Linked DNA regions of Sus scrofa. Each later gene encodes a partner of the first gene's protein in a complex. Links are inferred from orthologs where the notes say so. Each region holds a gene or a part of one and is shown in the gene's direction. Other genes may lie near its edges. The genes, in order: UBTF, RRN3, POLR2K, TAF1B, POLR1B, POLR1C and TAF1C.

Region 1 (3,604 bases):
TTACAGCCCCTCCCTTCGCCTGTGTCCCCGTCCCTCTCCTGCAGAAACGTAAGAGCATGACCAAGCTTCGAGGCCCGAACCCCAAGTCCAGCCGGACTACCCTGCAGTCTAAGTCGGTAAGGAGCCCCTCCCAGGAGGAGGGCCCCGTGCAGGGTCCAGGGCGCGGCAGGGACCCCTGATGGGCTTCCATCCCTCGCAGGAGTCTGAGGAGGACGATGAAGAGGATGAGGAGGACGAGGACGAGGACGAGGAGGAGGAAGATGACGAGAACGGGGACTCCTCCGAGGATGGCGGCGACTCCTCCGAGTCCAGCAGCGAGGACGAGAGCGAGGACGGGGATGAGGTGGGGCGGGCGGGCAGGCGGGCGGGCGGGAGGGCGGGACGGGGTCCCGCCAGCACGGCCCCCTGGTGACTGCACTTCCCTTGCCTCCCAGAACGAGGATGAGGATGAGGACGAGGACGACGACGAGGATGACGACGAGGACGAGGACAACGAATCCGAGGGCAGCAGCTCCAGCTCGTCCTCCTCGGGGGACTCCTCGGACTCTGACTCCAACTGAGGCTCAGCCCCACGCGGGGCGCCCCTCCTCGACTGACCACCTTTGTTTCTCTCCCATGTTCTGTCCCCTGCCCCCTGGCCTCCCCCACTTTCTTTCTTTCTTTTTCTTTTTTCTTTTTTTTTAAAAAAAAAAACAAAATACAGTGGGGAGAGGCACTGGAGGCGCCCAGGCTAGAACTCTGCGGCCTTAGAGCCATCAGCCCTGGAGGGCCCTCCAGGGAGCGCAACCACCAGACTGAGCCACCACTGGACCGGCCCAGCCCACCCCTCTTTTGCACTCGCAGTTCCGGCATGGACAATGGACCTGGGAGTGGGATCGGGGGTGGGTCCCAAAGAGTTCTCTGAGGCCCTCTACACCTGCAGCCCAACCCCTGGGAGGGTGGAAGCTTGGGGAAGGCCCCTTTGTTTCCAGAGGGGCTGCAGCCTGGACCCCTACATTGGAACTGGAGGCAGGGGACATGGGAGAGGAGGGCGGGTGCCTATGGGGAAATAGGCACGGCCCCCCAGCCCTCTCCCCTGCCCCCTGCAGGAAGGAGCTGCCTGGACCCACTCACGAGGGGAGGGGGCAGAAGTGTTTTTTATATATGTGTATATATTTTTTTTTTTAAGCTCTGAGCTGTCAACGAGACGTTTCCTACCGATCTCGGCTGCCGTCTCTGTTGTCATTTCTGGGAGAGGGAGGGGGTAGGGGTTAGGTTTGGGACTTTTTTAAAACGGTCTTGATGCGTGTGGAAAAATGCGTGTGTGTGCGTGTGTGTGTGCGTGGCCTGTACATAGCATGGGTGCACCTGTGGATGTGTGCAAAGGCACATGTGTATTTGTGTGTGTAAGAGAGGAGGAGGAGCCCACCTCAAGTCTGTGAATCTGGTGAAAGTGTTGGTGCGGGCCGGGGTGACATTGATCCTGATGGGGACAGGCTGGGTGGCCCCTTTCTCCATATCTTCTGCTTTGCCGAATCTCGGATTCAGTTTTGCGGGGTGACCGAAGCTCCTCTGATGCTTCTCATACTGGTTTCCCTCTGAGCTACTGCTGGTCTCCAATATCCAGCAGGATGGCGGAGAGGGGAACAGACCAGGTAGAACCTTAAAGCTTTGATTTGGTGGGAAAGGCCTCTGCAGCTCATCTGAGAGGCCTCCCGGCCACCCTGGGCTCCGAGAAATGTGTTGGAAGCTTGTAACTTACACGTCGCTCCTGCCTTTCCGCCACATCCTCCAGCTCCCCCACCCCCATTTCCTTTGATTTCTCAGGTCTGCCCACCTCCCCAAACCCACGGCTGGGGAAGAGGTCTGCACAAGCTGTTTTTGCAGCTGTCCTAACCCTTCCCAGCCATCCCCCCAATTTTGGTACCCCGATTCCTAAACTCTTAATAAGCCAAGCCACCTTGTCTCTGGGTTTAAATTTGGGGGGGTTGTTTTTATTAAATTTTGACTTTTTTTTTTTTAAACAATCACATCGTTGACCTATCTAATCGGGGCTTTGTGCTTTTCCACCTTCCCCTCTGAATGAAAGCCAAGGGATGGGGAAGAGTGGGAGCTCCGCCCAGGAGGCGGGCTGGGAAAGGTGGGTCCTGCTCCCAAAGGCAGGCGGTCCGCTTTGCCTTGGACTTGGTGCTGGGAGTGGGGGGAGCTAGGGAGGGACACTTCCCACTCCCACTCCCCTTCCTTTGTCCTGATCCTGGAATTAGGTACAAGGGTTCATAGGTTCTATTTCTTCCGGAGAGCCCCTGCAGAGAACCCTGTTTCCCTGTTTGAATGCTCCTGCGCTGTTGTGTTTTAGTGAAACATGTCTTCACTTAAAACCAACTTCGAGCGGGGCACTGTTTCTTTCCCCCCGTTTTGAAAGTTGAAAAATTCTTACAGTACAAACAGGGCTGTGGGGGGTTAGGGTGTTGGTGCTGTGAGAGGTCACTCTGAGTGCATTTTGGCACTGGGATGGGATGGCTGGGGTGGGAGGACCCCGCTCCCCCCCCTTTTTTCTAATATTTAAGGAGTGTTTTTGTAGGTTTCAACAACAACCACAACTTGAATTTGTAACATGGGAGGTGGGAGGGAATGGCTTAGAGGTGTCCGCCTAAGCTTAAGGCCAACTGTGGAAGTTTTGTTTTCCCTTTTTTTGTACAATAAAGTAAAAAAACAAAGGTTTGAGTGCTGTCTGATCACTGGACTCCATGAAGGGGGAGTGGTGGCAGAGGTGACCGAACAGGCTCAATGTGGAAAGCCCCTTGAAGCCAGCTTCTTGGCCTCTTCTTTCTAGAACCATCTTCCTCTCTCCTGAAGATGCCATAGGCAACCTACCTTCGCACTGTTTTGTGCTACTGGGGGTTTTTTTGTTTGTTTTGTTTTGCTTTGTCTTTTTGCCTTTTCTTGAGCCCCTCTTGCAGCATATGGAGGTTCCCAGGCTAGGGGTTGAATCGGAGCTGTAGCCACCAGCCTACACCAGAGCCACAGCAACTCGGAATCCTAGCTGCATCTGTGACTCACACCACAGCTCACGGCACCGCCGGATCCTTAACCCACTGAGCAAGGGCAGGGACCGAACCCGCAACCTCATGGTTCCAAGTCAGATTCATTAACCACTGCGCCACGACGGGAACTCCTTGTGCTACTGTTTTTGCACTTTCTCGATTCAGTTGGTTCACGTTGGGTTGTCAGGCCACTAAGGACTGGATATTTGGAAAACAAATACATTATTTTCTCCCAGAGTGCAACTGCCTTGAAAAAAATGGAGATGATGAGCCATTAGGGTCAGGGGTTCATCCCCGTCATGCATGGGCTTGTCATTGGGAGTTGAGCCCTTCGCTCACTCAGGGTTAGGAATGAGTTTCCTAACACCCAGACCTCTGATGGGAAGTGGGCTGGGCCGAGATGAATCACTCTCTGAGGGTAAGGAAGACAGCCGTCCCTGCACTGGCCCTGACTGGGTTCCTGGAATGCCACGGGCTAAAGCCCCAGGCTTTAGACCCACCACAGGCTTAGACCCACCTAAGACCCCTCGCTTCGCCCCACGGCCCTCTCTCACTCTTGGCCAAACTTGTGAAAAGCTGCT
Region 2 (4,038 bases), on another chromosome or scaffold:
TCAGAGGTACAGCTGCCATCCTGTAGCCACAGCCACCAGCCATGCAGGATCCGAGCCATGTCTGCAACCTACACCACAGTTCATGGCAATGCCGGATCCTTAACCCACTGAGTGAGGTCAGGGATCAAACCTCATAGATACTAGTTGGGTTTATTACTGCTGAGCCATGAAGGGAACTCCTGTCATTTCCTCTTTAGAACCTTCTCTGACCTGTGCCTTCTTCCACAGGAACAAGGACCGCATTCTTTGTGTTCTACTGTATTTTATGTCAGCATGTCTCCTCCTTGGGGTTTTAACAGACCAAGAATCATATCAGTTGTGTGTATGTTAGTTCAGAAGAGTGTTGCAAGTAATTTATTTCCAATAATAATTCAGTACTTAAGCACCAAAGTCTCTGACTGGTTTGCTTGAAACAGTGGAGCAGTTCTGGGAGTTCCCTTTGTGGCTCAGTGGTTAACGAAGCTGACTAGGATCCTTGAGGATGCAGGTATGATCCCTGGCCTCGCTCAGTGGGTTAAGGATCCAGCATTGCCATGAGCTGTGGGGTAGGTCACAGATGAGGCTTGGACCCTACGTTGCTATGGCTGTGGCGTAGGCTGGCAGCTGTAGCTCTGATTTGACTCCTGGCCTGGGAACTTCCATATGCCGAGGGTTCGGTCCTAAAAAGGGGGCCAGGAGTTCCATTGTGGCTCAGCGTGTTCCAAACCTGACTAGCATCCATTAGGATGAGGATTTGATCCTTGACCTCATTCACTGGTTAAGGATCTGGCATTGCTGTGAGCTGTGGCGTAGGCTGGCAGCTGAAGCTCCCACTTGACCCCTAGCCTGGGAACTTTCATATGCTGTAGGTGTGGCCCTAAAAAAGCAAAAGCAAAAAAAAAAAGGTGCAGTTTAAATGTTGTCCTTATAATTTACCTAAGCTTGTTTTAGTGGAAAAGAGATCGGATAGAGCTAACTTATTTTTATTTGCACATAACTTAGCTTGTCTTTTCTGCTTCAGGCCTTGTTTTCTTTAATGATTGTGGACATTGTGACATTACTGCAGTGCAAATGAGTCGTGACTCTTTTACTGCCAGGTTAGTTAGGATTTCATCAGCAGGCCATCCATGTCATTGAGGTTTGTCACAGAGTGCATAGGAAGCTCTCACTGGTTGAGTGAAGGTGGGGAGCGCCTTCCCCCGGGGCAGGGCATTGTGGGAGAGTGGCTGGAGCACTAGTCTAGGCAAATGGGTTTGAAGCTAGTTCTTTTTTTTTTTTTTTTGTCCTTTTGCCATTTCTTGGGCTGCTCCCTGGGCATATGGAGGTTCCCAGGCTAGGGGTCTAATTGGAGCTGTAGCTGCCAGCCTATGCCAGAACCACAGCAATGCGGGATCCGAGCCGCGTCTGCAACCTACACCACAGCTCACGGCAATGCCGGATCGTTAACCCACTGAGCAAGGGCAGGGATCAAACCTGCAACCTCATGGTTCTTAGTCGGATTCGTTAACCACTGCGCCACGACGGGAACTCCTTTTTTTTTTTTTAGTCTGAAGCTAGTTCTATACTGGCTTGGTTGGGCAAATTGCTTGTTAATCTTTCTTAGCCTGTTTCCTCATTCCTGTAAAATGGGAATGACAGTAATCCCTGTGCAGCATTGTCGGGATTAGGAAGAGGTCCATATGTGCAGTGTTGATGGCTGGCACTCGGCGTCTTCTCCCTGAATGATGCTCCTTATGAGTAGCCTGTCGCTGTAGGTGCAGCGCTGTTAAGAGCCTATAACTGCAGGATCAAGACTGTTCATGGTCTCTTGTTGAAGGTACAGCACGGTATTGCTTTTGTTTTTTTATGTCTCTTTCTCCTACTTTAACCTGCATTAACCATCTTCTTTCAAAAATTAGGGGTTTTAATTTTTTTCTTGTGAATTATATATGCATGAATACAAAACTATTTTTATTAGATATATATTTTTTTTATTTAGCAGGTTTTCCCCCGCACTTAATGTATTATGGATGGCAGTTTTATTGTCTGAAAAATATGTGAAGGTGTAGTGGAGCTGTCATTTATATAGAACACATCTTAATACATTTAAACTCATTTGCAGGTTGGGTTAAGAAAAAGTTGTATTTATTGATCAACTTAGACTGAGTGTGATCAGCATGTTTGCAAGGCAGCATGAGTATAGAGGAAGTAGAGGTACCTTGTGATCTTAGAATATTTGAATCTGTTATAATTCTTCAATTTAAAAAAAGTCCCAGGTGTCAACATTTGAGGTGTTTCCTAGGGCAAACAGAAGAGACCAAAATGATGTTTTTTGGGGGGCCAAACCCTTGGCATATGGAAGTTCCCAGGCTTAGGGGTTGAATTGGAGCCACAGCTGCTGGCCTACACCACAGCAACTTGGGATCCAAGCCGAGTGTCTGTGCCCTACACCACAGCTTAAGGCACTGATGGAGGCCAGGGATCAAACCCTTGTCCTCATGGATACTAGTGGGATTTCTTTTTGTCTTTTTAGGGCCACACTCTCTTTGGCATATATGGACATTTCCAGGTTAGGGGTCAACTCAGAGCTGTAGCTGCCGGTCTGCTCCACAGCCACAGCCACTCCAGATCTGAGTCTCGTCTGCAACCTATACTGCAGCTCATGGCAACACCAGGTCCTTAACCCACTGAGCGAGGCCAAGGATTGAACCCGCGTCCTCATGGATATTAGCTGGGTTTGTTACCGCTGAACCAGGACAGGAAGTCCACAGTAAGAAATTTTTATCCCAGTTTTCACTTCAGTCCAAATTTGTGACTTTTCCCCCCTAATTTAAATATTATTCCCCAGATAGGTACCATCTTCTGTGTTGTTTTAGAGGATCTGTGATTTTGAAAGTACTTTTTTTTGTTTAACTTAAGGATGACCAGATCATTAACTGGCTGCTAGAGTTCCGTTCCTCCATCATGTACTTGACAAAAGACTTTGAGCAGCTTATTAATATTCTGTTGGTAAGTTCACTGTTAATTTCATTGACTCTTATTTTTGTAACTCAGTACTTTAAAAATAGTATATATTGTATCAGTAAAATGTTTCCGTTCTTTTTTCCTCTCTCCCACCTCTAGAGATTGAAGTGGCTGAACAGAAGTCAGACAGTGGTAGAAGAGTATTTAGCTTTCCTTGGGAATCTTGTATCTGCACAGACTGTCTTCCTGAGACCATGTCTCAGCATGATCGCCTCTCATTTTGTACCTCGTGAGTGGTTGCTCTTGGCTTGCTTTGACATTTCTTTTCTTTCTTTCTTTCTTTTTTTTTTTTTTTTTTTTTTTGTCTTTTGTGTTTTTAGGGCCACACCCATGGCATATGGAGTTTCCCAGGCTAGGGGTCTAATCTGAACTGTAGCTGCCGGCCTACGCCACAGCCACAGCAGTGCCAGATCCGAGACGCCTCTTTGACCTACACCACAGCTCACGGCAATGCTGGATCCTTAACCCACTGATCGAGGTCAGGGATCGAACCCACAACCTCATGGTTCCTAGTTTGATTCATTTCCGCTGCACCATGGCAGGAACTCTGAGTTTTCATTTTTTAAATATCTCTGTTACAGTGCCACTTCCCCATACATTTTGGAGATTGTACCACCACAGAAGACTCCAGGTTACATATCAGCAGCAGTTCTGATACATGTCTGTTCCCTGTAATGACCTCTGTGGAGGCATCTAGATTCATTCGTTGCTGTTATTTTTGTGGGTTGTAATTTGCTATGGTGAGCTTCTGATGCAGTCTTAGAACTCAGGGATTTTTAGTTACTTAAAATCCCTCCCTCCCAACTGTAAATTTTATTCTTGTATTAAGTTTGGATGATGGAAAGATCGCTTTATTATGTGGCTGTTGTTTGTTTAGATCATCATTAGAAGAATAACATATTTTCTTTTTTCAAAAGCCCGAGTGATCGTTAAGGATGGCGACGTAGATGTTTCGGATTCTGACGATGAAGACGATAGTAAGTACAAAGAGGATTAAAGCAAAGGCTTGGCGAATGCATGCTGAGTGATAAAGTATCTTTGCCTCTCTAGGATTTG
Region 3 (4,610 bases), on another chromosome or scaffold:
ATGGCAAGACAAATACCCTCATTAGGAGAAGGCAATGCAATGATGTTTGGCACATAGTAGGCACTCAAGAAATGTTAGTTGTCATCACTGATAATAGCTTCCACTGACCATGCTCCACATGATGCTAAAATTACTGTTCCTACTCATAGGAACAAGAGTGTTGGATTGGGATCTAGCCCCAACATGAACTCTTGTTGAAATTCTGGATCTCCTTGCTACAACTTGTCTTTACTCTACCCCTCTGTAGGGTCCCAGGAGCCGTTTGTATTCTGCATGTGTTAATTCCTCCTGATCTCCATAGACTGCATTAAGTGCCAGCATCTTCTTGAAATCTCAAGCTTGAGAGTTGGAATCCAGGTCAGCTTGCAATGATTAAAGTTATACTTTTTGGATCACTCCATAATCTTTCTCTTATGATAACAATGGTTTTATCTAATACTTCTTGGAGCAAAGCTTATTTTGATTCTTCTTTTGGGTTACCTCTTCCCTTTGGCTGACAGGAGAGATATTTTTTAAGATGGTCAAAATACTTGTATGTTCTGTCTTAGCCTGTCTGTGGAGGAAGAAGCAGGACACTCCACTGTGTTTCCTGAAATTTTTACAACAGGGAGCTAAGAAGACTGGGAAGATTGAGTTAAATCTCTCAAGTTGGTCTGTGGAGGTGCCGGCAGTTGGAACTCCTCCTGGAAGTGTAATGCGAAGCTCAAAGTTCCCAAGTTTCCGTATGGAAGACCAGAGAGCAGTATTGCCTGCTTAATAAGAAACCAAAATAATGCATGTTGGGAAGAAAGAAACCTGCTTCTCCAATTAACTGTAATAGATAACGAATATGTATTTTCTAAATTGTAACAACTTCATTTTCTTCCTCTCATTCTGATATTAGTAAAATGCCTGCTATGAAAGAAGCAAACGAATGTAAATGTGTACATCCAACGATAATGTCTCACTAATAGTTTGATCTTTGAAAGGATTCCACTGAGCAGGTCGTTTTGTTCTTCTAGAGAATACATGGGACCAAAGGAGGGTCGGTAAACAGCCACCACTACCTAAATCCCTCAGCTTTAAGTGGCAGTAGTTGGATGTAGCTGCCTGCAAGTCCGCCTGTGCTTTAAAACGAGTAAAAGGAGAGGCTGAGAAGGATGACAGGTACCTAAGTGAGAAAGGGTCGAAAAGCAAACATTATGCAAAGGGCAGGAGGCGGCTGTTCCACTGCCGGCGGCACAGGTATTAAAACGATCTGAAATCCATAATCTGAAAACTGCTCTTCTACGTGGAAATCAGCGGTGAAACCGATACTTCCACGTTCTTTGGAGTAACGGTCAGCCCAGGGATTCCATGAGCACTTCACTTGGGTATCTAACGCTCTGACCTCTTGGAAAACTGTTACTTTCTGCGGCCTTCATTTGTCATAGAAACAAACCTCCTTCGACCTGAGAAACTGCTAAAATTCTTTGCCTCCCCGAAAAATGAAAATAGTTGGGAGCCAAATAAGAACCTCTACAGAGCGAATCAAACATACATAATTCCAATTTAACTGCCCGCGCTCAATCCGGGTTCTTCGGCCACTCCTTGGGCGGAAGGGGCGGAGACTACATCCTGCGTCATCTGCCAGTGCCGGAAGTGGGCTGACACACAGCGGCCTCAGGAATCTGTTAGGGAGCCTCGGGAAGTTTCTCCGTGTTCCGTGGGTAGGGGTTTGGCGGATTGGCGGTTTGGGATTGGAAGGTGAGTGTTTGGGCCAAAACTGGAAAGATACTAGGGGTTACAGGAGGTCCGGTGTGGGATTAGAGTCGAGAGAGGCTGGGGATGGAGTCGATGCTGTTAGCCCTTTGGCTTGTTTAGCTGTTGGGTTGTCTGCCTTTTCAGCTGTTAGGAGTTATTTCATTATTTTTCCCTTTTCTTCGGTTCGCATGTTTTCCTGTTGAGGGGTATAGTTTTTTGGCAATTTCTTGCTAAATTTTGGGAAAATTTCACTTGTGGGAGTTCCCCTTGTGGCGCAGCGGAACTGAATCAGATGAGTATCCTTGAGGATGCGGATTCCATCCCTGGCCTCGCTCTGTGGGTTAACGACCCAGCGTTGCCTTGAGCTGTGGTATAGATAGCAGACGGGGCTCGGATCCCGCGTTGCTGTGGCTGTCAGGCCTATTGGACCCCCTAGCCTGGAACTTCCACATGCCGCGGGTGGAAAAAAAAAAAAGAGAGAGAGAGAAAGAAAAAGAAAAATTGGAGTTCCCGTCGTGGCGCAGTGGTTAACGAATCCGACTAGGAACCATGAGGTTGCGGGTTCGGTCCCTGCCCTTGGCTCAGGGCAGGGTTAATGATCCGGCGTTGCCGTGAGCTGTGGTGTAGGCTGCAGACGCGGCTCGGATCCCACGTTGCTGTGGTTCTGGCGTAGGCCAGTGGCAACAGCTCCTATTCGACCCCTAGCCTGGGAACCTCCATATGCCGTGGGAGCGGCCCAAAGAAATAGCAAAAAGACAAAAAAAAAGAAAAAGAAAGAAAAAGAAAAATAGTACTTGTACTCGTGTTAAATGAAAACCAGAGCTTCGCAGTCAGATCTAAATTCCTCTGCCTTTTAACTACTGAATAATCCTGACCAAATTAACCTTCCCTAAATCTTAGTTTCTTGATCTGTTCATTAAGAGTAATTATTTAACCGCCTAGAATTGTTGTAGAGATTATAATGAAATAGCATGTGTAAATATGAAATCTGTAAAGTGTTTATGGAGTCCAGTTTGGGGGTAAATGCAAAATGCTTATTTGTGGGTTTGATTCATTCTTTAGAACCAGCGGTAGGATTTTTAAAAAGTACGGATTAGGAATTGGGAACTTTTTAGCTTTTTAGCTTTCCCTGAGAAAAATAAGGCATGATTGGATTTGTGAGGGGCCCCTTTAAGATGTTCAGTATTTGAATCTGTGATTTCAGGGATAACGATGGACACACAGAAGGACGTTCAACCCCCAAAACAGCAGCCAATGATATATATCTGTGGAGGTAAGAGTGGCACTTACATAAAATAAAAGTATTTTACCTCAGTTTTTTAAAAAGATAGTGCATTTATCTTTATTTTACTTGAGTCCTTCCTCTTTGAAGTTAGCGCTTTAGCAACTATTTTAAGATTTCATTTTCTCTCCTAGAAAAAGTGCGTTGCCCACCACTCTTTTCTTTCTTTTCCCTTAATATGTTGATAATGTTGAGATTTAGTATACATATTTTAGTGCTTTGGGGGAAAAGTATAATTAAGATAATTTGCTTGCCTCTTATTTCTCTTTTAGGCATTGAATAAATATGTTTTCTCTTTTAGAATGTCACACAGAAAATGAAATAAAATCAAGGGATCCCATCCGATGCAGAGAATGTGGGTACAGAATAATGTACAAGAAAAGAACTAAAAGATGTATCCTTTTAACTGTGTTTTCTAAATATGAGGTAGGAGGAAGTGGAGAATAATGCTTGGGTTGATAGTCAAAGACTAGCTGTTAAAAAATGGTAAAACTTGGATTACTTAGTGAAAAAATAAGCATGGAGTTGCCATCGTGGCTCAGCGGACACGAATCTGACTGGCATCCATAGGGACGCAGGTTTGATCCTTGGCCCTGCTCAGTGTGTTAAGGATCTGGCATTGCCATGAGCTATGGTGTAGGTCGAAGATGCTACTGGGATCCTGAGTTGCTGAGGCTGGTATGTATGTAGGCCGGCAGCTACAGCCCCCATTCGACTCCTAGCCTGGGACTTTCCATATGCTGCATGTGCGGCCCTAAAAAGGCAGGGGAAAAAAAAGCTTGATTAGCATTGTTATGGACCAATATGCCGGTACATAGGCATATACTAAATAATCTAAATACTAGTTAATTTTGGTTTTCATAAGTGTATCTTTCTTGGATTCTATATTTAAGTACTCATTCTTGAGCTTTAGTTCATGGACACACTAATTATACAGGGAGAAATAAAAATATTGAGACGTATATTACCTAGTGGAGAAAGTGAGGCTTACAAATTAGTAGAAAGTAAATTGTTATGTAGTAACTAACAGTATTTTTTAGATTGCTAAATTTTTACCTTTACCATCACTTAAGTATTTTTTGGTGTATTGGTCTTTTGTATCATGAAAAGGGGACTAATAATTAACTAGTTTATTTTTAGTTCATTTCTAATTATCATAGTAAATAGTGAATTTCATTCTTTTGTGTATTTTAAATTGATGTCACAAAGAGAAAGTGACTTGGAAGAGCTAAATTTTTAATGAAATCTTTAATTACTTTTCTTTTCCTTAACTCAGTTTAATACAGTGGTGGTTTTTGATGCTCGATGAAACGTGAAATTCAGAGGAATATCTTCATTTGGATTTGCTGTTGATGTTGTATAGCTTTTGATTTGTGTACTTTAAGAATACAGCTGTGTATCATGATTTCATTTTAAAAACCATATTGTATTTAGGGGTCTATTAATAGTTTAATATAAAGGTATTTTTGGTTCAGTTTCATGCTTCATAATTTAATTTCATCATATATGTAATCTGACACACAGTGAAAGTTAAAAATGTTTCCCCAAACCACACTTTAGTCAAAATCTAAAATCATTTGGGGGAGTTACTGCTGTAGCACAGCAG
Region 4 (4,038 bases), on another chromosome or scaffold:
GCTTTTGGTTGTCGTTCTCATTCTTTTTAAGACTTGTGTTAAAATATAGATGGCATAAAATTTACTGTTTGAAACCTTTCCAAGTTGACTTTCGGGGCGCCCCTCGTCCAGTTCCCGTTTCCTCTCAGTGTTACCCTCTTGCCTTTCATTTGCTGTACATTTGTCAAAACTAAGACGCCAGCTCTGGTACCTTACTGTCAGGTAATCTGCAGTCTTTATTTGTGATTTGACATTAGTTTTTATTTCATTCCTTTTCTTTTTTTCCCTTCCTTCCAGAAATGGTGGTGAGTCTACAAAAACAATTTAGCACACTGATTGATTCCACGCCCAGTGTTGAAAAAAGAAGCCCTTCAAGTTTTCAGTTCAACTGGACAGCAGAGGACAGTGATAGAACCTGTTTCCATGAACACAGCCTCCAGGGGGTCCTGAAGCAGAAAGGCCAGTCACTGACAACCAAGAATTCCCTGTACTGGCTGAGTACCCAGAAATTCTGTAGAAGGTGTGTGTGATGCTCTTAGAAATCCCGGAGTAGGAGCGCCCATCGTGGCGCAGTGGTTAACGAATCCGACTAGGAACCATGAGGTTGCGGGTTCAGTCCCTGCCCTTGCTCAATGGGTTAACGATCTGGCGTTGCCGTGAGCTGGAGTGTGAGCTGGAGTGTAGGTCGCAGACGCGGCTCAGATCCCGAGTGGCTGTAGCTGTGGTGTAGGCCGGGGGCTACAGCTCCGATTGGACCCCTAGCCTGGTAACCTCCGTATGCCGCGGGAACGGCCCAAGAAATAGCAAAAAGACCAAAAAAAAAAAAAGCACGGGATGGGGGCACCCATCTAGCTCAGTGGAAACAAATCTGACTAGCATCCATGAGGCTATGATGGGTTCAAGCCTTGGCCTCGATCAGTGGGTTAAGGATCCTGCATTACCACGAGCTGTGGTGTAGGTCACAGACGCGGCTGGGATCCAGCATTGCTGTGGCTGTGGTGTAGGCCAGCAGCTGTAGCTCCGATTCGACCCCTAGCCTGGGAACCTCCATATGCCACGGGTGTGCCCTAAAAAAAAAAAAAAAGAAAAGAAAAAGAAAGAAATGACAGGATTTAAAAAAAAAGACGAAATCTTTCGTTTGGCGTGAAGTAGTATTCTTTGCTAATTAAAAAAAATAGGCTGGATATCTTCTAAAGGAGTCAGGCTGTAATGAGAGCCAGGTAGGTTGTTTGATGGGATTAGAAGATGGTGAGCTTATAATCAAAACCATCAGAATTACACACTGAGCCTCGTTTATGAGTGTTAGGGATGGAGGTGTTAACTGCCTTTGATTGTTGTGGTACTCATTTCACAGTATAGACACTATCAAATCATCCTGTTGTGGCGTTCCCTTGCAGCTCAGCAGCTTAAAATCTGGCGTTGTCACTGCAGTGGCTCAGGTCACTGCTGTGGCGTGGGTTCAATCCCTGGCCCAGAAACTTTCCCATGCTGCAGGTGCAGCCAAAATGATTTAAAAAAAAAAATCATCCTGTTATAGCCTTAAACTTACATAGCTTGTGTGTCAATGATACGTCAGCAAAGCAGGATGAAGTTTTAGATCATAAAGACATTTCTCATTGAGACCTTAGGTCTTTACACCGACCTCCTTACACATCGACGCAGGCATCGTCCCCAGGGCAGGTCCCCACAGTCGTGCAGGGGATGCGCTGGCGAATGCAGCTGCCCGCATCCCAGCCCTGCTGGTGGTGCGCAAGCTGTGCTCCAGCTCCCCAGCTCTGCTGCCCTGATTGGGAAGCGAGGGGCGATGCTGACCTGGCTCCTCTTCTCAAAACCCCTGGCGGCTCCCGTCTCATTTCAGAGTGAAGTCGGGAGACCCCCTCTGTTCTCTGACCTCCCCTGCCCCCCTCTTCTCTTGCTCACCACCCCTGTTCACACCAGCCTCCTGGCTCTTCCTGAACTTGCCTGACACACTCCATGGCGGGTCTGGGCACATGTCATACCTTCAGCCTGGAACGCTCTTCTGCTCTGTCTCTACATGGGCTCACTTGCAGGTTTTTGCTCAGATTTCACTTCTTCAGAGAGGCCTTTCTTAACCATCATGTCTGAAATATCACCAGCCGTCACCCTCACCCACGCCCACACACCCACACACACACCTCATCACTCTCTGTCCCCCTTGCTTGTTCTTTCTTTTTCCTTATAGCTCGCGTCACGAGGGAATGTGTTGTGTGATTATGTATTTATTCCGTGTATTCATCTGCCTTCCCACAGAACAGGGCTTGGCACATAGTAGGTGCTCACTACGGTTGGTTGGTTGGTTTTTGTCTTTTTAGGGCTGTCCCCGATGCACATGGAGGTTCCCAGGCAAGGGGTCAAATCAGAGCTGCAGCTGCCGGCCTACAGCACAGCCACAGCCACACAGGATCCAAGCTGCGTCTATGACCTGCACCACAGCTCCCGGCAACACTGGTTCCTTAACTCACCGAGCAAGGCCAGGGATCAAACCTGCGTCCTTATGGGTCCTAGTTGGGTTCGTTCACCACTGAGCCCAACAGAAACTCCTAAGTGTTTGTCGAGTGAATGAATGGAAGACAGAAGCTTCCTCGTATGGTTTTAGGAGAGTTAAACGAGTTGGGTGTGTCTGTCACACAGTAAATGCGCAGTAAATGATCACCGTGATTTAACAAAATGATGTTTATTAGAATTTAACTTCCGGAGTTGAATATCAATCGAAGATGAGTACAGTGTAGAAAACACAATAGAAGACAATGAAATGAAGTCATCCGCATTACAGTTTACTGCTTAAAAAAAGTTTAGCGGAGTCTGGAGTGGTTAAGGAGTGTCCCTGTCTTAACAGCAGCAGCGAAAGGCCAGAATCCCAACCCCCGGGTCAGCTCTGCATCTGAGGGCGATACAGTCCTTCGAGGGGTCAGTGCAGTGGCTTCTTCAAGATTTACGGTTTCATCAAGTGGAAGGGAAAAGCTATGATGCTGGCTGGCGGGCTCCGTCCCCATCCCCACCGCGCCCCATAGGACCGGGAAGTTGGGACCTGAGGCGCTGTTGCTCTTCTGCCTGCAGAGCTGGTTCTGGAGGAGTTGGGGTGGGGGCGACACCTTCATGCTTTTTACATGATCCAAAGTTTAGATGTTCTTCATGGGTTTAATACTGTAATAGAAGACGGTTAGTTATAAAGAGACATTGATGGAGTCAGAGGTGAAATTGTCGAGATGTTTTTCCCTGCGTGCATTTGACGGCGGAGCACGGCACCAGCGATGCCGTAACTTTGAGCACCCAAGCTGTCCGGTTACCTTTGCCTATTTATTTTTAATCTACTTATTTTTTATTTGGGCCACACCCGCAGCATGTGGAAGTTCCTGGGCCAGGGATCGAATCTGAGCTGCAGCTGGGCCAGATTCTTAACCCACTGCACCTACGGCACAGCTGCAGCAGGGCCAGATCCTTAACCCACTGCACCAGGCTGGGGATCAAACCTGCGCCTCAGCAGCAGCCTGAGTGGCTGCAGAGCTGTTGTCGGCTCCTTAACCCATTGTGCTACAGCGGGGACCGCCACCTTGTCTATTTAGACTACAGCCTAGAACCACAGGGTGAGCAAAAAAGGGTTTAGCCAATCTTAGTAAAAAGGTCACCAAGTCCATGACTAAAACTATACGCTTTTCTCAGGATACCCCTTAGCCCCTAACTCGGAGCCCGCACACACTGCCCAGAGGGGTGTGTGTGTGTGTGTGTATGTGTGTGTGTCTGTGTGTCTGAGCTGTCTGATTTCCAGTTTCCTCTTCAAGAGGAACTGAGTAGGAGAGAGACTGAGAGCTACTCTGCTGATAAGCGTCCTGACAGCAAATGTGGTGCTACTCCTTTGACAGACAGTGTAGGGACTGGCAGAGAAGCAGACCAAAGAATTCAGATGGCCCTTCAGAGACACGGGATCACTGCCCAGAACCAAGCAAGCCTGACCGAGTCCCAGTTCGAGGGTGGAGCATGGTCCCAAATTGTGTGCACTCGTGGGGTTTGTTCTTCTTACCACTATAAAAGTGGATAACT
Region 5 (4,038 bases), on another chromosome or scaffold:
AGTGCTACCCTGTCCTCCTGGATGGCGTCATGGTTGGCTGGGCAGACAAGGAGCTCGCTCCTAGCATCGCTGACTCCCTCCGACATTTTAAGGTGCTCTTGAGTTCTTGTGAGGTGTTTTGTCCCTCCATCTTAGCTGTTTGGTCTTTTTCTTGTTGTCAAGGAAGCCCCAGGGCCTTCTCCAGGGTCAAGGGCTCTAGAGGCCAGAAGCTGATCCCAAAAGTGCCTTTTACATTCTCTCTGGTGGCAGCCAGCATCTTACCTTATACTCACCTCATTGGTTGGGGTTAGTGACAGGTATTTAACCTGTACTACCCCCTTTTTTCTGTGGTGGTGGTTTTATTGAGGGCTCTGGTCCACTCACTAACACATTTTTAACTTTCTTTTTCTTTGTAAATATTAGTGGCGTATAGGGGACCCTAAAATACAGACTTTATATTTCAAGTAATATTAAAGATATGCCAGATACAAGTCATCCTGTTGCCTACTGGGATTTGAAAATATATTAAAAAAAAAAAGGAGTTCCTGTCATGGTGCAGTGGTTAACGAATCCGACTAGGAACCATGAGGTTGTGGGTTCGGTCCCTGCCCTTGCTCAGTGGGTTAAGGATCCGGCATTGCCGTGAGCTGTGGTATAGGTTGCAGACGTGGTTCGGATCCCGCGTTGCTGTAGCTCTGGTGTAGGCCAGTGGCTACAGCTCCGATTAGACCCCTAGCCTGGGTACCTCCATATGCCGCGGGAGCGGCCCAAGAAATAGCAAAAAGACAAAAAAAAAAAATTTTTTTTTAAAATAAATAAATAAAAGTCAGGTAGAGGAGGGAGTTCCCGCTGTGCCATGGGGGTTTAAGAATGTAACCACAGTGGCTTGGGTCGCTGCAGAGGTGCTGGTTCGATCCCAGTGCAGTGGGGTTAAGGATCTGGCGTTGCCACAGCTGCAGCTTGGATTCAGTCCCTGGCCCAGGAATCCATATGCCGCAGGGCAGCCAAAAATAAAAATTGACATTCACAAGTCTCTGCTTTATAAAAAGAATTAGAACGTTTTCTTAGTTTTCAGTGCTCTGGAAGAGCTTAGGAAGCATTAGGTTATCTAGTCTTAGATCTGCTAGAGTTCCCCTGTGTAACCATCTGCTTCTAGTGCTCTCTTTGGGGATAGTTCCTTTAAAAACTGAGAATTTTGATTTATTAATTTGAACCTTCTTCTCTACTCTGTCTCATTAATTTCAGGTTTTATCTTTAGTGTTGTTTTTGTTGGTTTTTTGCGGCTGCACCTGCAGCATGCAGAATTTTCTGACCAGGGCTCAAACCTTTGCCACAGCAGCAACCCAAGCCACTGCAGTCACAGCTCCAGATCCTTAACCCCCAAGCCACAAGAGAACTCCTAATATGATTTCTTTACTTGTACTTTTTTGGGGTTATTTTGTTCTTTTATTTTTATTTTTGGCTTTTGAGCTTGGAGTTTAACTTATTTATTTTCATTCTTTATTTATTTTATTTGCTTTTTCTGGGGCTGCACCTGTGGCATATGGAAGTTCCCAGGCTAGAGGTTGAATCAGAGCTGTAGCTGCCAGCCTACACCACAGCCATAGCAACATGGGATCTGAGCTATGTCTGCAACCTACACCACAGCTCACCGCAACGCTGGATCCTTTAACCCACTGAGCGAGGTCAGAGATTGAACCCGCATCCTTAGGAATTCCTTACCACTGAGCCACAATTGGAACTCCCATTCTTTGATTTTATTGATGGGGAGTTTAACTGTGAATTGCAATACAAGTTTCATTATTTTTCACATTTCTGTAATTTTAGTTTGTATTTCTCCGTTCATCATTTGTATTTTTGTTTGTTTTTAAATCCCAGATGGAAGGGCCTTTTCATTGAATACATTTAAAAATACAACCGGTAATCTACTCTATTTTAGACATCAGAGAACAACATTTCATTTAGTGTATCGATACACACATTCTTGTTTACCTTTGCCCCAGTCTCTGTCATTACCAGTTTGCCTGAGAGTGGGACCGAGCCCCCAAGGAGGAGGGTTTCTTCCAACTCTGGTTATGGGGTGACTGGCCACCTGTGTGGGGTTGAGACTGAAGGGGCACTAAGTCTGCTAACTGCGTAACTGAGTTCACTTCTTATGACAAGTTGTTCATGTTTCATCTCCTGCATTGTACCAGCCTCCCAGGTGGCAGAGGGATGGCTGTAAAACACGTCACTTATTCACTGAACTCGCTTGTTGTTGAAACCAGGTGTTGAGAGAAAAAAGAATTCCTCCCTGGATGGAGGTGGTCCTGATCCCCATGACAGGAAAACCAAGTCTGTACCCAGGATTGTACCTTTTCACCACGCCTTGCAGACTGGTGCGGCCTGTGCAGAACCTGGGATTAGGCAGAGAAGAACTAATTGGAACTATGGAACAGGTACATTGAAGCAGTTTTCATGCTCATCAAACCTGAGAGAGGGCTGGTGGGCCCATGGCCTGCCTTTCCCATCCTGCCCCCCCCCCCCCCGCCTTGTTCCTTTGTGGCCAGCTCTGCCTCTGCTTCGGGTGGTGAGACTGAAATATTTCGTTAGATGCAGAATCTTTGCTTATATCTCTGTAGTTACAAAACTGTGTACTTTGTGCTACTAAATAATTTTCCCTCCTTCCCATCCCCCTTCACAAATGGATCAGGTTGGATTTCGTTTTTTTGGTTTTTTGGTTTTTTGCCACCATGCCTGCAGCATGTGGAAGTTCCCAGGCCAGCGATCAAACCCAGATCACAGTGTAACAATGCCAGATCCTTAACCTGTGGAGCCACCACGGAACTCCCAGACCAGGGTCGACTTAGAATGAAAAGTGTCAGGCATGTGGTATTCTAAGTGGATCCTTTCAGTGTTCATGTGCTGGGTGGGAAGGTTTTCTTTCAAGTCTCTGAGGCCCCATCTCAATGAGGTAGTGAGAGCTAATACATGTCAGCAGTCACAGGAATCTTGGGCCTTGGCTTCCTCACCCTTCCTCTTTTCCCAGATCTTCATGAATGTTGCCATCTTTGAGGATGAGGTTTTGGCTGGAGTTACCACCCACCAGGAGCTCTTCCCTCACAGCCTGCTGAGTGTGATCGCCAACTTCATCCCGTTCTCTGACCACAACCAGAGTCCGAGGAACATGTACCAATGCCAGATGGGTAAGGTGGACCAGAGGGTGCTGATAGCCATACGTATAGAAGAAAAGGGCTTGTAATTTCTAACTTTGAAATAACTTCGAACTCAGAGAAGAGGCACAAGTTATAAGAATAATACAAAGAACTCCCATAATTATGCTTTATTTGCACTGTTTTCCACTTGAAAATGAGCTGCAGACACAATACTCCTTTACCCTTAAATAATTCAATGTGTAATTCCTAACAACAAGGAGTTCCACTTAACATAACCAAGGACAGTTATTAAAATCACCCCCTCTCTTGGAGTTCCCGTAGTGGCGCAGCGGAAACGAATCTGATTAGGAACCATGAGGTTTCAGGTTCGATCCCTGGCCTCACTCAGTGGGTTAAGGATCCAGCCTTGTCATGAGCTGTGGTGGAGGTCGAAGATGCGGCTCAGATCCGGCGTGGCTCTGGCTGTGGTGTAGGCCGGCAGCTGTAGTTCTGATTAGACCCCTAGCTTGGGAACCTCCATATGCCATGGGTGCAACCCTAAGAAGACAAAAGACAAAAAAAAAAAAAAAATCACCCCTCTCCTCCCAGCAGTGTTACTATCCCATAGTTTGTATATATGCTTTACATCCCCTTTTTATGCATTTATTACACCACCCAGATGTCCATAAACTAGGTCTAGAATTGTTTGGGATGTAGAAGATGTATGTACATAAATAGTATCATATCCAACGGCATTCTGTACTGAACTTATGTTGCTACATGAGGGTCTACTTCCATTTTTTCACGCTATGTATTATTAGTCTGTAGTAAACAGCCGGCATGATTTATTCATTACCCTGTGATGAATAATTAGTTTCCAATTTTATATGTCACCTTTATAATCAAGGGAGAAAAAACAAAATGC
Region 6 (4,593 bases), on another chromosome or scaffold:
AGTACAGCATCGCTGAAGTGCTGTCTGCTAAAGGAAAGCAAAGCCCTAGTGGAGCATCAGGAAAGGAAAGGATAAACTTGGAACAGGGAGCAAAGGAAGTGACATTTGAGCTAGGTTTTGAGGAAAGATGAGAAGTTTGCTAGATGGAGAAGAGGAGGAAGGTGTGTTCTCGCCAAGCCCTGTTCTGTGACTGGAATCATGAAGAGGGGATTCTAAGGGCTTGGAGTCTGCTTGTAGAGTGGATGAAGGGCTAGATGTCAGGAAGGCAGCTTCGGTCAGGAGGATCCTCACCTGCTTCGCACCTGTGCAGGCTCCACATCAAAGTAGGGTCTCAGGATGTCGATGTTGGCGTACAAGCTGAAGGCCCTAGAGGCTTGTCTCTTCCCCGCCTGCCACATCTGAAGCAAGGAAGACCGGGTGGGGTGGGAGGGTATCGTGAGACTCTTGGCTTTAAGGCCCTTTTGCTTATTTCTTGTTGGATCTCTACATGGTTCTAACTGGACAAGCTGGGGTGAACTTCACTAATACCAACTCAGAACCAGAGGCCTCAGGATACTTTTCCACCTGTCAGAGAGCCAGTCTTGCTTACCTGATCAGCCACCTGCCGGCTCAGCTGTCCCTTAAAGCCCTTCATGCCCAGAAACTCCCCATCCTCTTCTTCAGCGGCAGCTGCATCAGCATCCACTTCTTCCTCACGCAGGCGCTGATGCAGCTCACCCATATCCTCGAAGCTGGAACCTGAAGTATCATCCATGTTCTCCATGTCAATCACAGCTGAGCCCCCACCCTGTGAAGACAACGGATCCCACAGTGGAGGACCTTTCTGCTCCATCCGTTATGTCCTTCTCTGTTCACCGGAGAGCTTGGAGCTTTGTCCTTTCACTGCTGGAGATACGGCTTAGAATTACCATAGACCATGCCACTCCCCTCCCCTCAACTGCTCTCAGAACCTTTGTTTGGCTCTCTTTTCCAGCCTGGGAAACCTACTCCCTGTCTTCCATACGTGTCCTTTTCCTACCAAAGCCACAAAAGGCTGCAAAAGTGCCCATTTCCTTTGTGTTTTCCACCCCAAAACAAGGCTGCGCGCACAGTGTGGTTTTGGCCAGTGAATCCCGCCTACCCCCCATCCCACCCTCGCCCCTGGCCGTGCCCGACCTTCTAAGTTGTGCGGAAAGCAAGAGCAAGGGGGCTCAGAGGTACTAGTGTGGACCTTTTAGGTCCGCACTAGTTCCACTGCCTTTCACGTGCACGAAGACCCAAAGAAGACAAAAAGTTCTGCAAACGGAGCAGACTTCCAAGGCTCGAAGGAAGAGTCCCCATGACACTTCAGGACAGCTGCAGGCCGTGGGGCTGCTGGCAGCCGGAGCCGTGGGGCGCTTACCTGGATGTTTTCATCGAATCCTCCCCATTCCGGGCCAGCCCCATTTCGGGCGCCGCCGGCCGGCGCCGCCGGAGTTGCCATGTCCCTCGAGGGCTCCCGTCGCTGAAGCCCGCGCTAGTCCCGCGCGCTGAGGAGGAGTGGGAGAGATGAGGGCCTGACGGATGGACAGGTCCAGGGACTAGAAAGAAAGGTGGGATCGGCCGGAACGCAAAAAGGAGAAAACCGGATGTTTGGTTAAAACTGACTTCCGGTATCTGAGGACGTGGACGGAGGCGGGGCAGATTCTCGCGATATTTAGGATTCCGGGAGGTGGTGTGTTGCCACGGAGACGGGGCAGGGAGACTAGAACGCACGCGCAGGCTTGGTACTCTAGTCACATGGTGGAGTTGAAGATGGCGGCGGCTCAGGCTGTGGAGGAAATGCGGAGCCGCGTGGTTCTAGGGGAGTTCGGGGTTCGCAATGTAAGTCTTGTGGACTTGACCTCGGGAGGAGAAATCAGAGCGGAGCAGGGATGAGTTAGAGTCGGAGTGGGGATGAATTTGGCCTCGCTGCTCCTTCGCGAACAGGTTCGTTTCTCTTTGCTCTAGGTTCATACTACCGATTTTCCCGGTAACTATTCGGGCTATGATGATGCCTGGGACCAGGACCGCTTCGAGAAGGTGGGTAGAGCTGGAGGTGTTCAGAGAGGGTATGAGGATCGGATCTTGCACTCTGAACATCCTGTTCCTCGGAAACTGCCTTGGGGGTTCGCTCTGGATGTGTTAGGCACTCGATGTGCACAATTTCTGCTTTGTTCTACAAGCTAACGAGATGGTTCGGTCTTTTTGGAAAAGAGTACAGGTAACACGACTCTAGTGAGTTGTGGTAAGGGCGATTAACAGCAATAAAGATTGAAGCTGCACTCCCTTTCGGGTGGGACTCGAACTCAGCCAAAACCCCCATTGGAACTTGAACCCATGGTCCCTGACGTAGGAGGGGACTCAAACCCACTGTCTTAATTGATACCGCTCACCTGCTATCGTCAGGACTTCCTGAGCCTCAGGTTTTGTCTCGTGGGAAAAAGAATTCAGCGTGAGGCAAACCGATACACAATAAGTGAATTTATTAGCATAGGACGCTTGTCAGAAATACTAATGAGCAGGCAAGGGAGTGCGACCCAGAGAACAAAGAGGGCTACATTTTTATAATCAAGGTGAAAGTGGGGCGGGGAGAAGACCACCTTATTTCTCATTCTTGGGTAAGATGGTCCAGGCTTGCATCATCAGTTCCTCCTTTGACCCTATATGGTCTAAGGGGGAGTGTCATGGGCTGTTTAAATCATAGGTATATTAGCAGAAGCGGTAACATATGCGAAAATGTGGTAATTCGTTTCAGGTTGCAGAATAATTTCCCCTTTCACCTAGTTTTTTCCCTCTTTCACCTTGTCTACATGCAGCAATGCCAGTCTTCAAGGACCAATAACTCTGACTTCATGTAACAAGATTGAAACCCCATATCTCTTGTCTTGGGTTTTAACTATCAGGACTTGTGGCTTGTTTCTGGTGCTTAGATACACCTGGTCTTCCTTCAAGGTGGTGTAGATTGTTGCTAAGTTACTGGATTCTTAAGTGGTCGGTTGTTGGCTTACAGCAGTCTTCAAACCCCCTTAACATTTCCTTTTTGTCTTTAAACCCTAGTGGGACTTCTAAACTATGTGATTATCCTACTCTATCCCCATCATTCCTTCCTCCAGCTGTTTTACTCCATTATGCTTAAATGAGCAAATAGGGAGAGACCGATCATTAGCTGCTTCCTCCTGAGATGGGTCATAGGTCTGTCTAGAGAAGGAGCATAACACCTGTCCCTCCTCTGTTGGGAAAATAATAAGCCAATGCTGCTTGTTAGTGTTAACCTTGTGGCTTCTGTTGATCTTCCGCATCAGATGATAAATCTATTAAAGAAATCAAGAGAAACGCAGCAGTAAGCAATTAAAAGAGATTGTAGCCAAGATTTTGGGGATCCATTCCTTCATTCCTCCAAAAGCCCTCCCAAATCTGGAAGAAGGCAACTGAAGGTCTCAATCTGTGTTTGTGTTTTAGCACTTGAAATACATTAGCAGATTCATCAAGAATAAAAGCACAAGATTCCACCTTAATGATGGCACAGTTTCCTTCCTGGGAGGCTGTAATAATGTCTAAGGCTATCCTGATTTGTAGAATGGCTTTTCTCATTAAAGTCATTTCAACATTGGGTAAAGAAATAGCATCCAGGAGTTCCCATCGTGGCGCAGTGGTTAACGAATCTGACTAGGAACCATGAGGTTGCGGGTTCCATCCCTGGCCTTGCTCAGTGGGTTAAGGATCCGGCATTGCCATGAGCTGTGGTGTAGGTCACAGATGCGGCTTGGATCCCGCGTTGCTGTGGCTGTGGTGTAGGCTGGCAGTTACAGCTCCTATTAGACCCCTAGCCTGGGAACCTCCATATGCTGCGAGAGCGGCCCAAGAAATAGCAAAAAAGACAAAAAATAAAATAAAATAGAAATAGCATCCAGCATAGTCCACCTTAATGATGGCACAGGTTCCTTTCTGGGAGGTTGTGATAATGTCTGAGGCCATCCTGATTTGTAGAATAGCTTTTCTCATTGACGTCATTTCATCGTTGAGTAAAGAAATAGCATTACCTTCTTTTTTTTTTTTATTTTTTAAAAAAATGACTTTCATTCAAAGTCTCCTGTGTAAATTTTGTTAAAGTTTCAATATGAGCTGCAACATTTTCAAGACCTAAACCTGGCGTAAAGATGTTTAGCAAGTGATCATACCAATGAAAAACAGACCAAGTCCATTTTGCTTTTAGCAAGGGGAAGTTGGCAGGAGAATAATTCAGAGGATAATAATCATAATGCATATTTGTACTATTCTTTGAATGTATTTTGTTCCTTAATAGTTAAAGCAGATGTACTTCCTCCCTCTCTATGTGCTTTTTAGGGCCTCACCCTCAGCATATGGAAGTTCCCAGGCTACAGCTGTTCTCAGAGCTACAGCTGCCTGCCTCCGCCACAGCAACTTGGGATCCGAGCAGTCTACACCACAGCTCATAGCAATGCCGGATCCCTGATCCACTGATTGAGGCCAGGGATCAAACCTAAATCCTCATGGATGCTAGTCGGATTTGTTTCTGCTGTGCCACAATGGGAACTCCCACAATATATATTTAATAGGCCACAAATAGGCTGT
Region 7 (4,814 bases), on another chromosome or scaffold:
TGCACCCACAGCATATGGAGGTTCCCAGCTAGAGGTCGAATCAAAGCTACAGCTGCCAGCCTATGCCACAACCACAGAAGCGTGGAATCTGAGCCATGTCTGTGACCTACACCAACAGCTCAAGGCAATGCCAGGTTCTTTTTTTTTGTCTTTTTGCCCTTTCTAGGGCCACTCCTGTGGCACATGGAGGTTCCCAGTCTAGGGGTCTAGTCAGAGTTGTAGCTGCCAAGCCTACGCCAGAGCCACAGCAACGCGGGATCCTAGCCGCGTCTGCAACCTACACCACAGCTCACAGCAACGCCGGATCCTTAACCCAGTGAGCAAGGCCAGGAATGGAACTCACGTACTCATGGATACTAGTCAGGTTCCTTAACCACTGAGCCATGACGCGAACTCTTGGAAGTTGATTCTTTAAATGAATGGTTCTCAAAGTGCGATGCCTGGACCAGCAGCATCAACATCTCTGGAAACTCATTAGATATGCACATTCTTTTTTTTTTTTTTTGTCTTTTGTCTTTTTGTCTTTTGTTGTTGTTATTGTTGTTGTTGTTGTTGCTATTTCTTGGGCCGCTCCCGCGGCATATGGAGGTTCCCAGGCTAGGGGTTGAATCGGAGCTGTAGCCACCGGCCTACGCCAGAGGCACAGCAACGCGGGATCCGAGCCGCGTCTGCAACCTACACCACAGCTCACGGCAACGCCGGATCGTTAACCCACTGAGCAAGGGCAGGGACTGAACCCGCAACCTCATGGTTCCTAGTCGGATTCGTTAACCACTGCGCCACGACGGGAACTCCTAGATATGCACATTCTTAGATCACATCCCAGACCTACTGAACCAGGAAACCCTGGGGGTGGGGCCCAGCAAACAGTTATAACAGGCTCTCAGGGGATTCTGGCACACACTCAGATTTGAAAACTCCCGGCCTGGATAATGGTAATATTTATGATTGACCAGTAGTTCTTAAAGGGTGTTCTCCCTACAAGCAAAATCGGCATCACCTGGCAACTTAGGAATACAATTTATCAGGCCCCAGACTCACAGAACCAGAAATTCTGTTTTAACACACGCTCCAGGTGATGCCAATGCTAGCTAGACTTTGAGAAACAATGCCTAAAGCTGTATTTGCCTGACCACTGGGAAAGCCTCATGCGCTCCCATGGGTACCAGAACCTCTACTTGTAAAGCCTATTTCATAGTATATAAGGACAATTAGGATTCCTGCTGACTAATGAAGTGCCTGGCTGACAGTAGGTGCTCAGTGTTTGTTGAGTGAATTAATACAACAATCCTGAAAAATGGGAAGTTAGTTAAGCACAGGTGGGGTTCGCACGGCCATCAACCTGGACTTCACTATTGGAATTTTTTTTTTTTGTCTTTTTGTATTTTTCTAGGGCCGCACTCCTGGCATATAGAGGTTCCCAGGCTAGGGGTGCAGTCGGAGCTGAGGCCGCCAGCCTACGCTAGAGCCACAGCAATGCTGGATGTGAGCCGCATCTGTGACCACAGCTCAGGGAAATGCCGGATCCTTAACGCACTGAGCGAGGCCAGGGGTCAAACCCGTAACCCCCTGGTTCCTAGTGGGATTCCTTAACCACTGAGCCACCACGGGAGCTCCCACTATTGGATTTTGACGGGATTTTGTTTTTACTGCCCACAGGGCCGCCTCCACCCCCCATTCCCCCTCCGCCCGGGAGGTGGCGCTCTGGGGCGCCCATGAGGCCAGGCTGGGAGGCGGGACTTCCTGCCTTCGAGGAAGTACTTCTAGCCCAGCCCGGAAGTCAGAATATTCGCTGTTGTGGGAGGTCCCGTGGAGGGAGTTGAGCTTGGATTCAGTTTTCGGGCTCCCTCGTGGCGCGAGGGTCAGGCGAACGGCCCGCGGAGGTTCGTTTCTCAGGCGACCACGGCGAAGCCTAGGCCACGTAAGTGTGCACGCCGCCTGGCCGGCACTCAGCGGCAGGTCCCTCTGCTCAGGTCCGCGGGCTCCGAAGTGGTTTATTAGCAGCCGCTGGCTCCCGGAGTTGGGAGGATCCCGCCGCTGTAAAGCGTGGTAGCAACAACTGTCTGACACCCAGCGCTTGGTGCGAGATCTGTCTTGCTATTGTTGGGTTGAACTTCTGGAGCCTGGAGGTGGATGGGGAAGGCTTGGACGAGGGGATGTCTGAAGGGAAGGGCTGCCAGCATCCACTCTCCCATCCTCTGGCAGGCGCACCTTTTGCCGTGCCCGGCCTGGAATTAATGCCGGTGACTAACCCTGCATCCTTGGATGTCGAAAGGGGCTTGGAGAGCCCAGCCCGAGGGCGGGAAGTCGAGGCTGTCTTGTCTTGGGGCTTCTCTGAGATCATGGGCTCCACTAGCGCCCTCAGCCTATGTATTTGTAAGGCTGTTTGGTTTCTTTCTCCTCTCTTCCATTCGTTCTGGATTTGTTCCTTCAGCTTATAGATGTTGATTGTTACTATGTAGCAAATACCAAGGCACTGGGGATAAGGTCCCTTCCCCAGGGGGACTCTTAGAACAGTTTGGAATCACATAGCTTCATCCATAAGTCTCTAACCCCACACCGGAAGGCGTTCTTAGGAGGAAGGGTGCAGGGTGTTTGTTGTGGGCTAGGGTTGGGAGAACTGGGAGAAGTGTCCTGACTTGCAATCTGAAGGGTGAGTAGGATTTTTGTAGGTGGGTAGGAAGGGCAATGGGGCTCATTCTAAGCAGAGAGATAGCGATAAACGGTCCTGAAGTGAAAAGACACATTCCCGCCACTGCCCTCTCCTGTTACGGAAAAGAGAATGACAGCAGCAGCCAGACGCCAGGATCTCAAGAATGAATCAGATACTGTCTCTGCCTCTGGAGAGCAGTCTCGCAGAAGAGAGAAGACTACACAGAAACCACAAGTAGAATGAGGCCCAGAGAAACACATTCATTCATTTGACAAGTATTTACTTCACTTACTGTGCAGTGGACACTTCACGGGGTGCTGAGGGTACATGGATGTTGGAGGTTACAGAATAAACAGGCACAGTGCACCTGCTGTTGCTGGGGAAAGGGTTTTGCTTCCTGAAACTCTCATGCTGGTGTTTCCTTCTGGATGCACAGGAAAGCGAGTAGTGGTTCCGAACTTGGACTTTGAGTCTGGTGGAGGATCACGCTGTTGGCCTTGGGAAAGTCACTCTTTGCTGAGCCTCAGGGTCCTGAACTCTGTCTTAGAGGCAGAGGAAGAGTGAGACATGTAGTACCTTTGTCTGGCAGATGCTGGTGCTCAGTCAGTGAGCGCTGCTGTTATTTTTGTGGTTAATTAAAAAAGGGAAGAGGGGTTTGGTGTTCCAGTTGTGGCTCAGTGGGTTAAGAACCCAACTAGTATTCGTGAGGATGCAGGTTCAAACCCTGGTCTCGCTCAGTGGGTTAAGAATCTGGTGTTGCCATGAGCTGTGGTGTAGGTTGCAGACTCGACTCAGATCCCACGTTGTTCTGGCTGTGGTGTAGGCCGGCAGCTGTAGCTCCGATTCCACCCCTAGCCCAGCAACTTCCACTTGCTGCAGGTATAGCTGTAAGAAGAAATGGGAGGAAAGAAAAAGGAGGGATTATTTTTCTGCTTTTCTAGGACACTTTGTATTTACCAAAGGCCTTTGACGTAAATTTATTATTCAACACACAGTCAGCTACATTTTTTGGAAGGTACTTTACCTGTCAGTGGGAAGGCAGACAAATAAGATTCGTTGTCCCTGGCTTTGGGGACTTGAGTTTGTCTTGAGCGTGTCGTCTGAGGATGTATAATTAGGATATATGAAGGAGCGGGATGGAAGCTGACCCCTTGCCACCTGACTTGGTCCCGTCACCTACCTCCGGGTTCATTCCGTGGCTGCCTGGTTGTTCAGGGGGTGCCACATGCCTTCTGCCTCTGTGAAAACCACACCCTCCCCTCCCCTCCCTCCTGGCTGGCTGGTTGGTGTTCATGGAGCACTTATTACTGTCTGGCACTAGGCTGCATGTTTGTTCTTTGTTAGCTGCTTCCCCAAAGAAACTCTTCCCCCCTCGGGGCCCTTTTTGCCTTCCCTGCCTTCCCAGGAACACTGGCAGCTGCCGGCAGGTTCTGGTCTCTGAGCAAGGCCAGTGTGACGTGTGGCTCTCGTTTTCCAGGATGGACTTCCCCAGCCCGCTCCCGCCCTCTTTGTTTATGACCGGCCCCCTTGGTCTGAGCGGTGTCCCTGATGTGTCCTTCATGTGCAGCTGGAGAGACGCGCTGACGCTGCCGGAGCCCCAGCCCCGGGCCTCTGAGGTGAGGGTGGCGGGGGGGGGCCCGGGTGGTGCGCCTGGCCCCCCGCTCCTCGCACAGATCCGCGCCGGAATCCTCTCCTTTGGGGACCAGGGATGCTCTGCCGTCCACCGAGGGCTCCTGAGCGGGAGCTGTTGGCTTGCTTTCCTGCCTCCCTCTCCCTCTTCTTTCCTTCCTCTATCTGTCCAGCAAAGACTCACTGAACAGCCACTCCTGTGGGCCAGCTGCCTTCCGGCCTGGCATCCAGTGTAAGTCAGATGCTCTCCCTGCCCCAGGGGAACAGAGGGAGCTTGAGCCAGAGTAGACGAGTGAACAGGCCCAAGGATGAGATCACTACAGAGTAAGCGAAATCCAAAGGATGCCCATCCAGCCCAGTGGGCCGGGGGCGCAGGGGTGGGCAGACCTCCCGGAAGCCTAAGCCAAAGGGTTACACCAGGCAGAGGCCATGGGGCGGGGGGCGTGTTCCTTGGCAAGGCTTCCCTGAGATTGCCCCTCCAGAAGCCTCACTTGCTGGCTTCCTGGCGGGGAGCTGAGCTGTCTCAGGCCAG

What was found.
Region 2: UBTF (region 1) and RRN3 share a complex: the UniProt entries of both Homo sapiens proteins name them as parts of the pol I pre-initiation complex. The link is inferred for Sus scrofa from reciprocal best matches to the Homo sapiens genes UBTF and RRN3.
Region 3: UBTF (region 1) and POLR2K share a complex: the UniProt entries of both Homo sapiens proteins name them as parts of the pol I pre-initiation complex. The link is inferred for Sus scrofa from reciprocal best matches to the Homo sapiens genes UBTF and POLR2K.
Region 4: UBTF (region 1) and TAF1B share a complex: the UniProt entries of both Homo sapiens proteins name them as parts of the pol I pre-initiation complex. The link is inferred for Sus scrofa from reciprocal best matches to the Homo sapiens genes UBTF and TAF1B.
Region 5: UBTF (region 1) and POLR1B share a complex: the UniProt entries of both Homo sapiens proteins name them as parts of the pol I pre-initiation complex. The link is inferred for Sus scrofa from reciprocal best matches to the Homo sapiens genes UBTF and POLR1B.
Region 6: UBTF (region 1) and POLR1C share a complex: the UniProt entries of both Homo sapiens proteins name them as parts of the pol I pre-initiation complex. The link is inferred for Sus scrofa from reciprocal best matches to the Homo sapiens genes UBTF and POLR1C.
Region 7: UBTF (region 1) and TAF1C share a complex: the UniProt entries of both Homo sapiens proteins name them as parts of the pol I pre-initiation complex. The link is inferred for Sus scrofa from reciprocal best matches to the Homo sapiens genes UBTF and TAF1C.

Annotation. Positions count from the first base shown.
Region 1 is NC_010454.4:19,003,450-19,007,053, forward strand, and holds the end of UBTF (nucleolar transcription factor 1), read left to right. Parts: intron 1-44; coding exon 45-116; intron 117-199; coding exon 200-343; intron 344-434; coding exon 435-560; 3' UTR 561-2,696; downstream 2,697-3,604. UniProt on the Homo sapiens protein: Recognizes the ribosomal RNA gene promoter and activates transcription mediated by RNA polymerase I (Pol I) through cooperative interactions with the transcription factor SL1/TIF-IB complex.
Region 2 is NC_010445.4:7,561,552-7,565,589, reverse strand, and holds part of RRN3 (RNA polymerase I-specific transcription initiation factor RRN3), read left to right. Parts: intron 1-2,877; coding exon 2,878-2,967; intron 2,968-3,081; coding exon 3,082-3,211; intron 3,212-3,899; coding exon 3,900-3,959; intron 3,960-4,038. UniProt on the Homo sapiens protein: Required for efficient transcription initiation by RNA polymerase I (Pol I). Required for the formation of the competent pre-initiation complex (PIC).
Region 3 is NC_010446.5:36,849,597-36,854,206, reverse strand, and holds POLR2K (DNA-directed RNA polymerases I, II, and III subunit RPABC4), read left to right. Parts: upstream 1-1,584; 5' UTR 1,585-1,725; intron 1,726-2,926; 5' UTR 2,927-2,934; coding exon 2,935-2,995; intron 2,996-3,305; coding exon 3,306-3,398; intron 3,399-4,290; coding exon 4,291-4,313; 3' UTR 4,314-4,478; downstream 4,479-4,610. UniProt on the Homo sapiens protein: DNA-dependent RNA polymerase catalyzes the transcription of DNA into RNA using the four ribonucleoside triphosphates as substrates.
Region 4 is NC_010445.4:126,530,554-126,534,591, reverse strand, and holds part of TAF1B (TATA box-binding protein-associated factor RNA polymerase I subunit B), read left to right. Parts: intron 1-276; coding exon 277-499; intron 500-4,038. UniProt on the Homo sapiens protein: Component of RNA polymerase I core factor complex that acts as a GTF2B/TFIIB-like factor and plays a key role in multiple steps during transcription initiation such as pre-initiation complex (PIC) assembly and postpolymerase recruitment events in polymerase I (Pol I) transcription.
Region 5 is NC_010445.4:43,953,716-43,957,753, reverse strand, and holds part of POLR1B (DNA-directed RNA polymerase I subunit RPA2), read left to right. Parts: coding exon 1-92; intron 93-2,246; coding exon 2,247-2,417; intron 2,418-3,007; coding exon 3,008-3,164; intron 3,165-4,038. UniProt on the Homo sapiens protein: Catalytic core component of RNA polymerase I (Pol I), a DNA-dependent RNA polymerase which synthesizes ribosomal RNA precursors using the four ribonucleoside triphosphates as substrates.
Region 6 is NC_010449.5:38,509,827-38,514,419, forward strand, and holds the start of POLR1C (DNA-directed RNA polymerases I and III subunit RPAC1), read left to right. Parts: upstream 1-1,694; 5' UTR 1,695-1,758; coding exon 1,759-1,842; exon of another isoform or gene 1,843-1,914; coding exon of another isoform or gene 1,915-1,947; intron 1,948-1,968; coding exon 1,969-2,040; intron 2,041-4,593. Other genes in the region: protein YIPF3, read right to left, coding at 292-398, 590-787, 1,382-1,462. UniProt on the Homo sapiens protein: DNA-dependent RNA polymerase catalyzes the transcription of DNA into RNA using the four ribonucleoside triphosphates as substrates.
Region 7 is NC_010448.4:4,446,986-4,451,799, forward strand, and holds the start of TAF1C (TATA box-binding protein-associated factor RNA polymerase I subunit C), read left to right. Parts: upstream 1-1,686; 5' UTR 1,687-1,921; intron 1,922-4,130; 5' UTR 4,131-4,131; coding exon 4,132-4,269; intron 4,270-4,455; exon of another isoform or gene 4,456-4,514; intron 4,515-4,541; exon of another isoform or gene 4,542-4,606; intron 4,607-4,814. UniProt on the Homo sapiens protein: Component of the transcription factor SL1/TIF-IB complex, which is involved in the assembly of the PIC (pre-initiation complex) during RNA polymerase I-dependent transcription.